Tribolium castaneum: one gene and its partners. The protein of the gene in region 3 interacts with the protein of the main gene of each other region in a pairwise test. Links are inferred from orthologs where the notes say so. Each region holds a gene or a part of one and is shown on either strand. Other genes may lie near its edges. The genes, in order: Trim9, trio and fra.

Evidence for each region.
Region 1: the proteins of fra (region 3) and Trim9 interact in a two-hybrid assay, tested with the Caenorhabditis elegans proteins (2 studies listed by BioGRID). The link is inferred for Tribolium castaneum from reciprocal best matches to the Caenorhabditis elegans genes unc-40 and madd-2.
Region 2: the proteins of fra (region 3) and trio interact in a two-hybrid assay, tested with the Caenorhabditis elegans proteins (2 studies listed by BioGRID). The link is inferred for Tribolium castaneum from reciprocal best matches to the Caenorhabditis elegans genes unc-40 and unc-73.

The regions. Positions count from the first base shown.
Region 1 is NC_087402.1:3,125,286-3,129,411, forward strand, and holds the start of Trim9 (E3 ubiquitin-protein ligase TRIM9), read right to left. Parts: upstream 2,807-4,126; 5' UTR 2,550-2,806; coding exon 1,809-2,549; intron 1-1,808.
Region 2 is NC_087394.1:33,647,464-33,651,640, reverse strand, and holds the start of trio (kalirin), read right to left. Parts: upstream 2,833-4,177; 5' UTR 2,711-2,832; coding exon 2,566-2,710; intron 618-2,565; coding exon 431-617; intron 1-430.
Region 3 is NC_087396.1:13,003,396-13,007,050, forward strand, and holds part of fra (neogenin), read left to right. Parts: intron 1-2,926; coding exon 2,927-3,089; intron 3,090-3,147; coding exon 3,148-3,284; intron 3,285-3,588; coding exon 3,589-3,655.

The DNA of each region.
Region 1 (4,126 bases), on a different chromosome or scaffold from region 3:
TAATTGGCGGTTGAAAATTGAAAAAAAGTGAAAATAGAAACCTTTTTTTGCGTTTTTCTCGGAAACTGTAAGACTTAGAGCAACGAACAAAAAACCATCTGATAGCGCTTAATTTTCTCTATTTATTCGATTAAACCCGGAGCCGCTCCGGGCAACGGTTCCGGCTACAGAGGCGATCAAAGTTTTTCACTAAAAAAATTCATAAAAAAAAAACTAAAAGTCGTAGAGCATTGCGGTTTGTTCGATTGAATTCTACGGCTCATTTTACATATTATATCAATTTTTCACAAAAATTAAAAATTTTAAATTTTTTGCCTAAATTTAGGGTAGCCATTTGTCATAGTGGAAAATTTTATCCAACAAAAAAATTCATAACTCAAAAACTAAAAGTCATAGAGCAATGCGGTTTGTTCCATTGAATTCAGCGGTTCATTTTCTGTATTATACGAACTTTTCATGAGATTTAAAAATTTTATTTTTTTTGCTAAAATTTCCTGAGTAGTAACACTTATCTTCAAGAAAGTGAAAAAATTATTTTTTTTTTAATTCGTTCTATCATATTTTTTCGTATTTATATATGCCTTTACAACTCTCTAGAGTTGTTAAAAGTCCAAAAAAAGTCTATATGTTCGATTTTTCGATGTTTGATTTTTTCAATTTTCGTCGCAATTTTTGTCGATTTTGGGTACCCGGAACATTTGTTGAGCAATAGCTTCGGAACTATCAAAGATAACCCCATGAAGTTTATTATCGTTGGAAAGCTCTTTAAATTATCTATTTTTTTTTAAAAAAGATTATTGTTCTCCGACTAATAGTTTTCGAGCAAATTGCTGCTAAATGCAAAAATTGGTAAAATTTTAAAAAATTCATAACTAAAAAACTATTGGGAATTTGGCAATTTTCTTGATGCCAATCGATTCCCCGGATCATTTTGCATAGGTATGGATCAAAACAGGTCTCCTTTTTCAAATAGTTTAGTCGTAATTGAGAAAATAAAAAAAAAGTTAACAACTTTTTAAAACAAGTTAAAATGGTCAATTTTAAAAGTGTCTCAGAATCGAATAAAACTTATCCTATCTTATAGATTTTGATGTGCTCTTTACGATGGAAAAAAGAGTTTTCTCCTAGCTCTTTTAGTGTGGCCGTAATCGGCGATTGAAAATTGAAAAAAAGTGAAAATGGAAACATTTTTTTGCGTTTTTCTCGGAAACTGTAAGACTTAGAGCAACGAACAAAAAACCATCTGATAGCGCTTAATTTTCTCTGTTTTTAATAAGAATTGTAATAATAATAAATATTCCTTTAAAACATTTCAAATTATACTTTATTTCCTATTATTGATAGATATGATATAACTACGTAATTTTTACCGATTCAGAAAAGTATTGGCATTAAAAAAAACTAAAAGTGATTTGAAAAACATTTTAAGTTAGAGATTTCAAGAAATCATTCGGACCCCAACACAAAACTTGGACAAATCCGGACGGAAGGCATCCCTATATACTTTGGAAAGAGTACAAGCATTTGTTATGACGACAATCAATAAATTTTGAGTAATTTATTTAAGATACGCTTAAAATGATTGTAAGTTCTTTTTTTTTCAACTCTTTCTTCAAGTGCGGTGCAACCAGACACCCTTATTCCCTATTTAATCATGTTTGCTGTTCCACGCTAATGTATATTTTAGTAGAACATTGTAAAATGAACAAAACCCAAGTGAGATAATTGGATTCCTATGGGTTTTCTTTTCCCGGCGTAATCTTTTGTTCCTTTGACCGTCTCCAAGGCAAACAAAACGTAAAAACTACCTTTTGAGTCTTGCACATGACGGCAAGCGCTTGGACATCATGGGAAGCATGTCTCGAGTCCATCAAACACAAAGCACAGACACCAATCTTGCACACTAAGCAGTACATGTTCAGATTTTCGTCGGAATGCTCCGTGCATTTATCATCCCTATTCCTGAGCATCGTCCCCGAGCAGCGCTTCGGTTCCGCGAGCACATGCTTGGCCAAGGGCCCCCTCGCCGGATGGCAGGACTCGCGGCAAGTCTCGCAGTAAAGCACCTCGCATTGTTCGCACATCACCGTGGCTTCCCTCGCCGGCTCCGTCTCGCACATCTGACATTTCAGCGTCAGATTCCTGACCTCGCTGTACCGCTCGACGATCGCCTGCATGACGCGGTACTTGGGCAGGTTGTGGGCGCCGTTCTCGTCGAAGTACACCAGCTTGTGGCACAGGGGGCAGGCGAGGCTCAGGGCGCTGGGGAACAGGCCGCCGCTGGGGGTGCCCACGTAGCTGTTGGGGCGCGAGGTGCACACCACGCCGCTGTCCGTCTCGCTCAGGATGGACAGCTTGTCGCTCTCCTGGTAGTCCCCGGAGCTGCCGGAGGCCACGCTCTCGGCGTTCTCGGCGCCGGCGGCGCCATGGCTCTGGGCGGGCTGCTGCAGGTGCACGGCGCAGCTGAGGCACAGAGCGTGGAAGCACGGCAGCAGGACGGGGTTGGTGTAGAACTGTTTGCACGACGGACAACGCAACTCCTCCTCCATCGCACGCAACTCACCAAACTCCACTGACGGCACACACCGGCGGGTTTGAAACACGCGGCGAACGGGACACGGAAACGGACGAAAGCCGGCGAGGGTTTGGCCTGGTGCTGCTGCTGTTATTGTTGGCGGCAGATGGAGATGGATGGGAGGGTTGAGGTCGACGACATATTTTTTACTTCGATTTTGTGCTTTTTGGTTTGTTTCGTACGGATTTTGCGGTCAAGCACGAGAGGACAACCTGAATGCAGCGGCCGACAGCGCAATTTTCAAGCGTTACTTACATACATCATTTTAAATTACACTTTAGTACCATGTAAAATGATAAATGTTACTTCTAGCGTCTTAAAAAATAAAGCAGAATCCCAAAAATTTCGCTGTTTTTCTTATTTGTTCAATTAATCACGCATTTAATTGTAGATTAACTTAATGACGCTTCTATAAACCGACCCCTAATATCCTACAAAAAGCACAGATTTTTATGTACCCCCAAAAAAGTACCACTGTTGTTATTTCTGGACCAAGAGGTGAGAGCACTTGACTAAAAGTTGTCCTTTTTTTTAAATAAATGCTAACTTGAGTTAGCTGTACGTATTACCTACCCCTAAAACTAGAGCTGTCAGAAAAAAGCAGTTTTGAAACCAGCGACCAACAATTAAGAAACAAAAAAATATGAGGACTGTAAACTAGTGGTTAGATTTCTTCAAAAACTTGTGACTGTTTTGTAAAAATGACACCACAATAGAATGCGCATATTTGAAATTTATTGAATAAAAATTTGTAAATTGTAACCCAAAGATTAATAAATATGTCTTTGTGGGTACTTATAATTTTAGGCGGAAATTATCAGGAAAAATTCGTTTGTTTAGAAAGTTGGTAAACAGTAACAGTAGCTTCGTTACACATGCGACCACAACATATTTGTTTGTTTTTGTCTTTTATAAACCGTGGATTAAACTCACTTTTACATTTTAACTTAAAAAATTATAGTTATTTATGTAGGACAAGTCTATTAAAAGTACATTTTTACTGAATCGGTATACTAATCACACGCAAACTAAAATGCTTCATTGTTTTCTCTTTGTGTGTTATTTAGTTCCTTATAATCGAAATTACAAAAATTTTTAGTTATGTGTCGGTTTGTTAAAATACTATTTAAATAAATTAAAAAAATAAGCCCCAAAAATTGTTTATCCAAAAAATCTTACAATATTTTTGTGAATAAAACACTATATTTTGAGCATTTTGTTAGTCATGATGTTTTTAGATTTTAGTTTTTAAAATAATTGTATCTCATTGTCAAAAATAATACTACAACGAAAAATACAATTTCTGAACGTAAAAAAACTTTCTAAACATAAAATACAATCAAAAATTCTTTCTCAGCAAATTTTATTTAAAAATACATACATTACCATTATTTTACCTAGCGTTTATTAGTATCCATTTTTAATACATTTTTTCGGTCTATCAACATTTTTATTTAATTTTTGCACAAAACAACATAAAAACGTGGCTTGTTTCACAATATCAGTCTAATTAATTAATTTTAATTACGAATGAAAAAAATTTTGCAGGAA
Region 2 (4,177 bases), on a different chromosome or scaffold from region 3:
AAAACGTTTATCTAGATTGTACGCTTTCGACGTAATTTCTTCTAATTGTGTTGTTAGTTATTTAAAATATGGGCACCATATGCGCAATATTCTTGGTAAATTTAATAACACACTCCCCGACTCGATATTAACGTTACAATAAATAAACTTTTCTCCTCGTTGCTTTTTTGCGTGAGAAAACATCATTTTAGTGCATAATTTAATCACCATTTTATAGAACGCTGAGTGGAAACAGACCGTATTATAATGTCCGTTATTTATTCGCAGATAGCTTAGAAAGTGTAACAGGATTTGTTACACTAGATCCAATTGAACAATGGCGGAAAATGCGGAAAATTTAAACTTCCACTGATCAAAAAATGACCATTGAGTGGTTAAGCTATAACTCGCGCTTGCATAATTTACGTGAAGTTGGAGAAAAAATACTTGCTTGGGAATGGACATAAGATATTGCAAAAGGCGTTTGTAATCCTCCGGTTTAGCACGTTCTCTGCGAGGACTGGCAGGAAATGATAGCACAGGACCTCCACGCCTGTCACGGCCACCGGTCAAAATCACAAGCCGTTCCTGCAATAGAGGCATCAGTTCCAAAGCACGTTGTCCGTCCATGTTTTGAGCTGGAAAGAAAAACGAAATTAGCGCCAATTCACGTCACTAAAAGACTTAATCGATTGATGAAGCACTCTCAACTACTTAGCAGGTTTAATAACCCTCACACCTCGTTTCACACCGCTTAAAGCGATCGATGTCAAATGTGATTAAATTGCTTATGGAGTATTTATTTTGCGATCAGTCCGATTTTTATGTAGGCCTTTACAGTAATAACGAACCTTTTCCAGTTCATTTACCGCCGAACGTCCTGGGTAAAAATAAAAGTGAGGCGCAATTTGAACCGGAAAATGATCAATACTAACCAAAAGTGAAACGTGTTATTTAATTCCCGAATAATGGTAAATTATGTATGGGTTGAATAAACAAAAAATTTCATTTCATTCAAATGTCGCACGTTTTGGGACAGGATTATAATATTCAGTGGGTTTCAGAGGAGCTTAATGTTTTATTCTCCGTGTCATAAAGATTCCGAGACTTACGTCTTTAATTTTCCTTTCTTCATAAAGGTCGCAGTCTTTAGAGAGAAAAGAGGAAATGCAAATGTAAATCCAGCAAAAATTATCTTCTCCAAGATCGAACACTCGACACAAATGAACGTAACATGTGGGTTGAATAGAAAATAAGGAAGGTTTTGTTTTGCCACAGATGTTGAACACTTTAAACGTCCTTGGAACTTTAAGATTCACGATCGCGAAACTAATTAAAGTCGGGAATTTTTAATCAAGGGATGAAAGATATTTCATTAAGGGATTTCCGATCAATTGTTAAGTGATTTTAGAAATTGTACAGTAAATACTCGGTTGGTAAATAAAATTATTTCGCATTAAGCGAAGGTCTTTGATGCTACATAATGAACTAAATAAAATTTATCTCTGGGAAAATTGTCGCATCCAGTCTGCATAAAGCGAAACATAAAATAAACGAGTCACATCACATCATTTCACATTCAAATTTTACGTAATAAAAATGAAAGTCGAGATTCACTACGGAAAAATTGAATTAATTTCCACTCCCATCCCAAATTGTTTTCCACCAAATTAAAAAACTTTTTCCGTACATTATTGCTTCCCGATTTCTGTCATATCGTGAACTCGAAACAGGCAAAGCGGATTAGATGTTCAACGTCAGATTACTTGTGGTAAAACTCACGATTTTCGGAGTAATGAGACTGCAAATTAAACTAATTTGTTTAAGCTCAATTAAATGTTGCGCCTCCGATAACAAGATTTCAAAACATCATCTACGCCCCAAAAATAGACTGTCAGCGCTTCCCAATTTCTCTTCGTGTGTTGTAGATTAATCATAAATCATTCCGGCTGACGTTTATGCTAAAAATAATATGCACAGGTTGCGCAAAAAGGTGCAATGTCTTAAATTAGGGACAGTGTTCTGAAGAATAAATCTGTCACGAGTGAACAATTTTTTATTGAAGTGGTTTTTCTCGCTCATAAATGACACGTGAATTCATTCATATTCTGGTAAAACCTAAATAAAATGTAAAAGTAACAAAGTTTGACACGTTCCCCGAACTGTGCGAAAAATCTATCACGGAAAGTTGCCATTGTTTGCAGTCCGATTGTTCAATGTTTTCAACAGAATTTGGTAAAATTCTCTATACATTATCTAATCCTGATCACACTTCTATTGACAAAGTGGGTATAATATTTTTGATCCATAAAAGTGGGCCCTTTTCCAGGCCGCCCAACATTGTGTAGTGTACGTTTATTTATCATAAAATAGAAGTGCAGAAATATTTACTAAACATTCTGTTCCCCCGTTTCAACAGTTTGTTTCTTTCGTAAATGCATTCCTTGAGCAAACATTCACATTTGTGTTTTATTTCCACGTCTTCGAATTTTCATTGTGCTGTGTTTTTGTTGGAAAAGCAGTTAACACGACAGTTAAGTAAACGATTAATTTGAACAGATTTACAAAAAGAAACCAGTAAATTACCAACAAGCCGTCTTGTTCGGTGGACTGTATTGGGTGACCCAATGGAACTGTGCCAACTGTGAGGGCGACGTCTGGAACCTACTGAAGTTTCAGCCTTCGTCCTGAAGGCGGACGCTGTTCTGCTTGAACTAGCCATGGATACCATCAAAAATGTGATGATCCACTGCACTTCTAACTTGATTTTATTTAAATCAGCCAACGTGTATTTATTTTTGCGAACTTATTTTGAGAGTTTTTGGAAATACACTCTGTTATTCATATTTTCAGTTCTCGGTAGCATTTACCCGAATAAAATAACAAATCAGTTCGTAATTTTACTGCAACAACAAGCAAAAATTGATAAGTGGTATTAATAAGCGCCTCCTTCCAATAATTGTTCAACAATTAGAATATGATGAAAACATTTCTGATCACAGTAATTCGATAAATCGCCCATGGCGTTCAAATTAAAAGGCAATCTTATTTCAATTAGATTTAATATTCCCTTTGAATCTCGGTTTGGGTAAAAACAAATTATCCACCTAACAGCCACTGATCAAAATGCAATAAAGTTGTTGAAACTTGGGTTAGTTTCCAAGCGTCAAATTTGTAGAAACTCGCAACTTGGCGAGGCACGTGTTCGGAGTTTTGAAGAATACGAACACAGGGGCGAAGGCTCTCCTTGTCTGACGTTACCCAGGAATGCCATATCAAAGAATACAGCAGAAATGCGGAATCGATACTCCCATTCGCTTATGGGTACTATTCCTTGTTCAGCCTCCAAGTTAAGCAGATTACCAAAATGATGAGTTTTCATAACGGTTATTTACGCCCTCAGATATGATAATGCGGAGTTCAGCACGCAAATGAAAATTGCGACTTTATTATTAGGCGATTAAAGACACTTAAAATCAATAACTGCAAAAAATTCTTCGGCCAAAAATAGGAACCGGAAATTGCATTCTTGCAAGCTCACTTAAAATCGACCTAGTTTTTGACAAAAGATTAAACGCTCTCATTACCTTAATTGCCAGCTGAAGTAATTATTAATTACTTAAGCCCCAGAAGTGACAAATCCTAACCAAGTCATGGAAAACGAAAAGTTTTCATCATAGAATAATGAATTAAACGGGTTTATGTTAATGGTTTGCTTGCACAACAAAGTACATACCAAAAGGAAGCCTCACACTCTTTTTCCTACAATAATGCATTCCATAAACATGTAAATTTTTATATTCATATGTAACATGTTTCCAATAACAATCATTAACAAATTTGTTCAAGAGTTGCACAAAAACTTCCTTTGCATTTAGAAAGGATAAACAAAGAAACTGCAAGGAGTAACCACGTGTGACAATTCAGCTGCACGTAACATTACTATGCTGCAGAGCTGCTCGAGAATGTTTCACAAAATAACAAATAACAAGATTAGGTAAATTTATTGGCTGTTGTTGTAAAATAAAAACATTCACATCTCGCGATTGCGACCGTTGTGGTTGTTTTCCGGCAGATCCGCACTTTGGACAAAAAGGAACTGCTGCGTCGTGACGCCTGTCGTCTTCACTATCGGAATTTGTGAAGCGCAGTCGCGTACACACCGGAAAGGGAAATACCTCCTTAATGAACATATGCG
Region 3 (3,655 bases):
ATATGATTTATTGTGCAATCTCGCTGTACGAAAATAACATTCAATTAGAAGCAGCAGGCATTGTAATTACGATTCGAAAATGGCGTCAATAAATCTTGTCCCGGAATAAATTAAAATATGAAACTAAAAATGCACACCGAGATGTCAGATCGTTGATAAGAAGCGTAGACCTCTAGTCCTCCCAACAGATGTTTGAATCCATTATACTCCTCGACAAAGGGGCATTTCAACGCACCGCGTCATGTTAGCACAGCAATATATCGCATTTCTATTGTGCATGCCATCCGGTTTAAAACAAGGACCTATTAGACACATGATGCTGAAAAAATGAACCGGAGCGTGATCGATTTTTGGGCACCCTTGACCGGAAATTGGTGTCGTGTCGAAAGTTCCGGGTCATGTTTCAAAAATGAAACTTTTATATTATACCACCCTGGAGGGAAATTCGAGCCATAAAGTCGGAATTAAAAGAAAAAAACGAGCCAAGGTGGGGGAGGGGATTTTTACAAGAACACGGCGAGTTATTCTGGAAACGGCGGACGTTCAGCAGACGGATTAATTTTCCTATGACGTAAAAGTTCACTTCATTAGCTTACTACAGCTCCAGTTCAGGAGAAGGGTGCCCAACTTGCATGAACTTAATTCACGTAAATGAGGGCAAAATAATATGAAGAAAAATCGCAGCAGCCGTTACTTTTCTCATTAATGAACAAATTGAAATTGTTTACCAGCTACTTACTACTTGAATAAAATAAGAAAAAATGTTTGTTTATGTTTTTGAATCTTTTACTCGTTTTAAGTGATAAATTCTGGTGCATAACGAAAGCACCAAGATCCATTTTTCGAAAACTTTTTTGATATGCATGCAGCAAGTTTATAGCGCATTTGTCTTCAGGGTTAGACAAATTATGTATTAGATGGTTTTGTATGAAGTTCTATTGTTTAGGTACTATTTATTCTTACCTGTTTCGCTAAGATTTAGCTGTTTTTCGTAAAATTTATCTGTTTTTAGCAGCAAACTTTCTCGTTCCTTAAAGAGTCTCAAAAAGGGTTTAAACTAAGGCAACAAAAGCCTTTAGCTGACATATTTTTTCCCCAAGCTAATAGAGCGAAACAGTTTTCGGACTTTACGAACAAAATTTCTGGTGTTATTTTGTTGAAAAAGCAACTGTTTCGTTACAAAAATGGAACCAAATTATCATACAACACTTCAAAGTATTTTCAACTCTTCCTTCATCCATTTCAAAAGGGTTTTTCGAAGCTATTCATAAAAATGGGGGAGTTTATTAAGAACGTCCTGAATTTTTTTTCCTTTAGCTTTCTTTAGGATTAGTAACAAAAGTTTTTCTTTAAAACTTATTTTAATACAGTGAAACCTCTCTCAACGGACCCTCTGTATAGCGGACGCGAACGAAAAAAATCCCCATTTACATTAACATATAAATTTACCTCTTACAACGGAGAGAATGAAAAAAAATGGTGGCGCAAAGAACGTACATTTATTTCATGGACTTTGTAATAATGGATGAAAAATTCTATACCGAAAATGGAGAGTTAAATGTCGAGGAGTGTACGCAGTTTTTTTTAGAAAAACATGATGAAAAGATTGATGAAGATGATAGTGATAAAGCGGAAACTTGCCTTAGCACCACAGTAAAATCATGCTGTCTGAATATTTTGCGTCTGTTCAAAAAATATCTGAGTTTATGCGTCTTGTAAAAAATTATTGTCTCCTAAAAACAACCAAACAAAAACTGAAGATTTTGTAAGGGATCAGTTTATTTATTTTTTTTATTAAAAAAAAATTGTTATAATAAGTTTAACAATGAAATGTTTATAATAATATTATTATCATATTAAAATTTATCCAAGAATTCTGCGTGCGAGTAAAATATTTTTTATAAAATATATTTTTGCTGCTGTTTTAATTTGAATATGTTTTGTGGGCAGTTCAATAATAATTAATTAATACGAAAGATACCTGTTTTTAAATATTAAAATTGCCTACCTCTTATTAGTGGACAATTAAAAATTCTCCATCGGTGTCCGTTGTTGAGAGGTTTTACTGTGTTACTTAGGTAATTACGTTAGAAACCCTCACACAAACAATAAAAATTGTTAAGATAAAACTGAATCAAATTAGTTTTATGATACGATTTAAAAAATTTAAAATAATATTTTGAGTCCGGTAGACTTGCCCACACGTAAAATTAGTCATCAACTTTCTTGGCAATACAGACAATATTAATTTTTATATCGGACTTTTAAATACACTTTGATCAGGTTATACTCACCGGAAGTTATACTATGTTTTAATGAAAGAATTTCTATCCAATTATTTCCAATTTTTTGAATCAAACGATAATATTATTGGATAGATTAATTGAATTGAAACTAATTGTACGATGGGAAGATTTTATTTTATTGTACAGTTTTACAATTTAGGAAATTGTTTTCTCTTTGATGTTTTTTGAAAAATCGTGCTTATTTTCGTTTGGTGGCGTAAATTAAATAAAATCTGATCACGCAGAGCCGTAATTATGCCACAGAGCAATCAGTTTATTCATTATTCCGTCCACATTTAAAATTCTGAGCCAGTCTAGCTCGGACCCCTGCCCCCTATGACACATCACGTCTGACTTTTCATTGATTGGAAATTTAACAAATGTACACATGCTGAGATAAGGGGTCAGCAATAAATAACGATTTACCGATAAGAGCAACTGTTGTCCCACCATATGTGGGCCAATTTTCCAATTTTGTGTATTCCGAGGGTTGACCGGACTCAGCTGTCGTTACCGACCATTTCGAGCGGTAATAGCCACTCCCTGACTTAATTTTTCGTATTTTACGCCCGTTTTAAGTATTTGTTTACTTGAGAGTTTTACGATTCGGGCGAATAAAGCCGGTGTTTTGTTCGTTTCAGGTCATGTGCTGGAGTTTACGGTGGAGCCGACGGACACAGTCGTGGAATCGGGGCAATCGGCCGTTCTGGACTGCGTCATTAAGTCGTCCCATCCAGCCAGCGTCCTGATCCAGTGGCTGGACCAGGACCGCCAAAAACTGACGTATTTGGGCGATCTGTACAGGTATCGATTCACCAAAGATGAATTTAATTAAACCGTCTACGACTCGAATTACTTCTAGGTCTCAGCTTACAAACGGCTCACTGTATATAAATAGCGTGTTGGAAGAACAAAGATTGACGGGGACTTACCAATGCATGGCTTCGCTGCCGAACGTCGGCTCCATTGTGAGCAAAGCGGCCACGCTGAATGTAGCCAGTGAGTAGAATTCATTTATTCAAATTACGGCGAAAAATTCACAAACTTTGTCGCCTTCACCGAATTAATTTCATTTACATTTCGGCAACGCCTAATTTGGAATTAATCCTTTGATTAGCTTTGCGGCTTTTCAAACTTTTCACGAAGTTCCAAAACAAACAATCCCGCCATTGATCAGATGATTTATTTTTCGGGCCTGAGCTTATCATTTGCATCGGGATAAACAGCAATTTGCTTCCAAAAGGAAAAATTAATGAATGCGCTCCCTCATTTTTCATGACGCGATAACTCATAAATATTGAAGGTATCTCGGGCTTTCTGGAGGAGCCGCGCGACCTCCGCGTGTACGAGGGCCAAAGGGCCCATTTCGC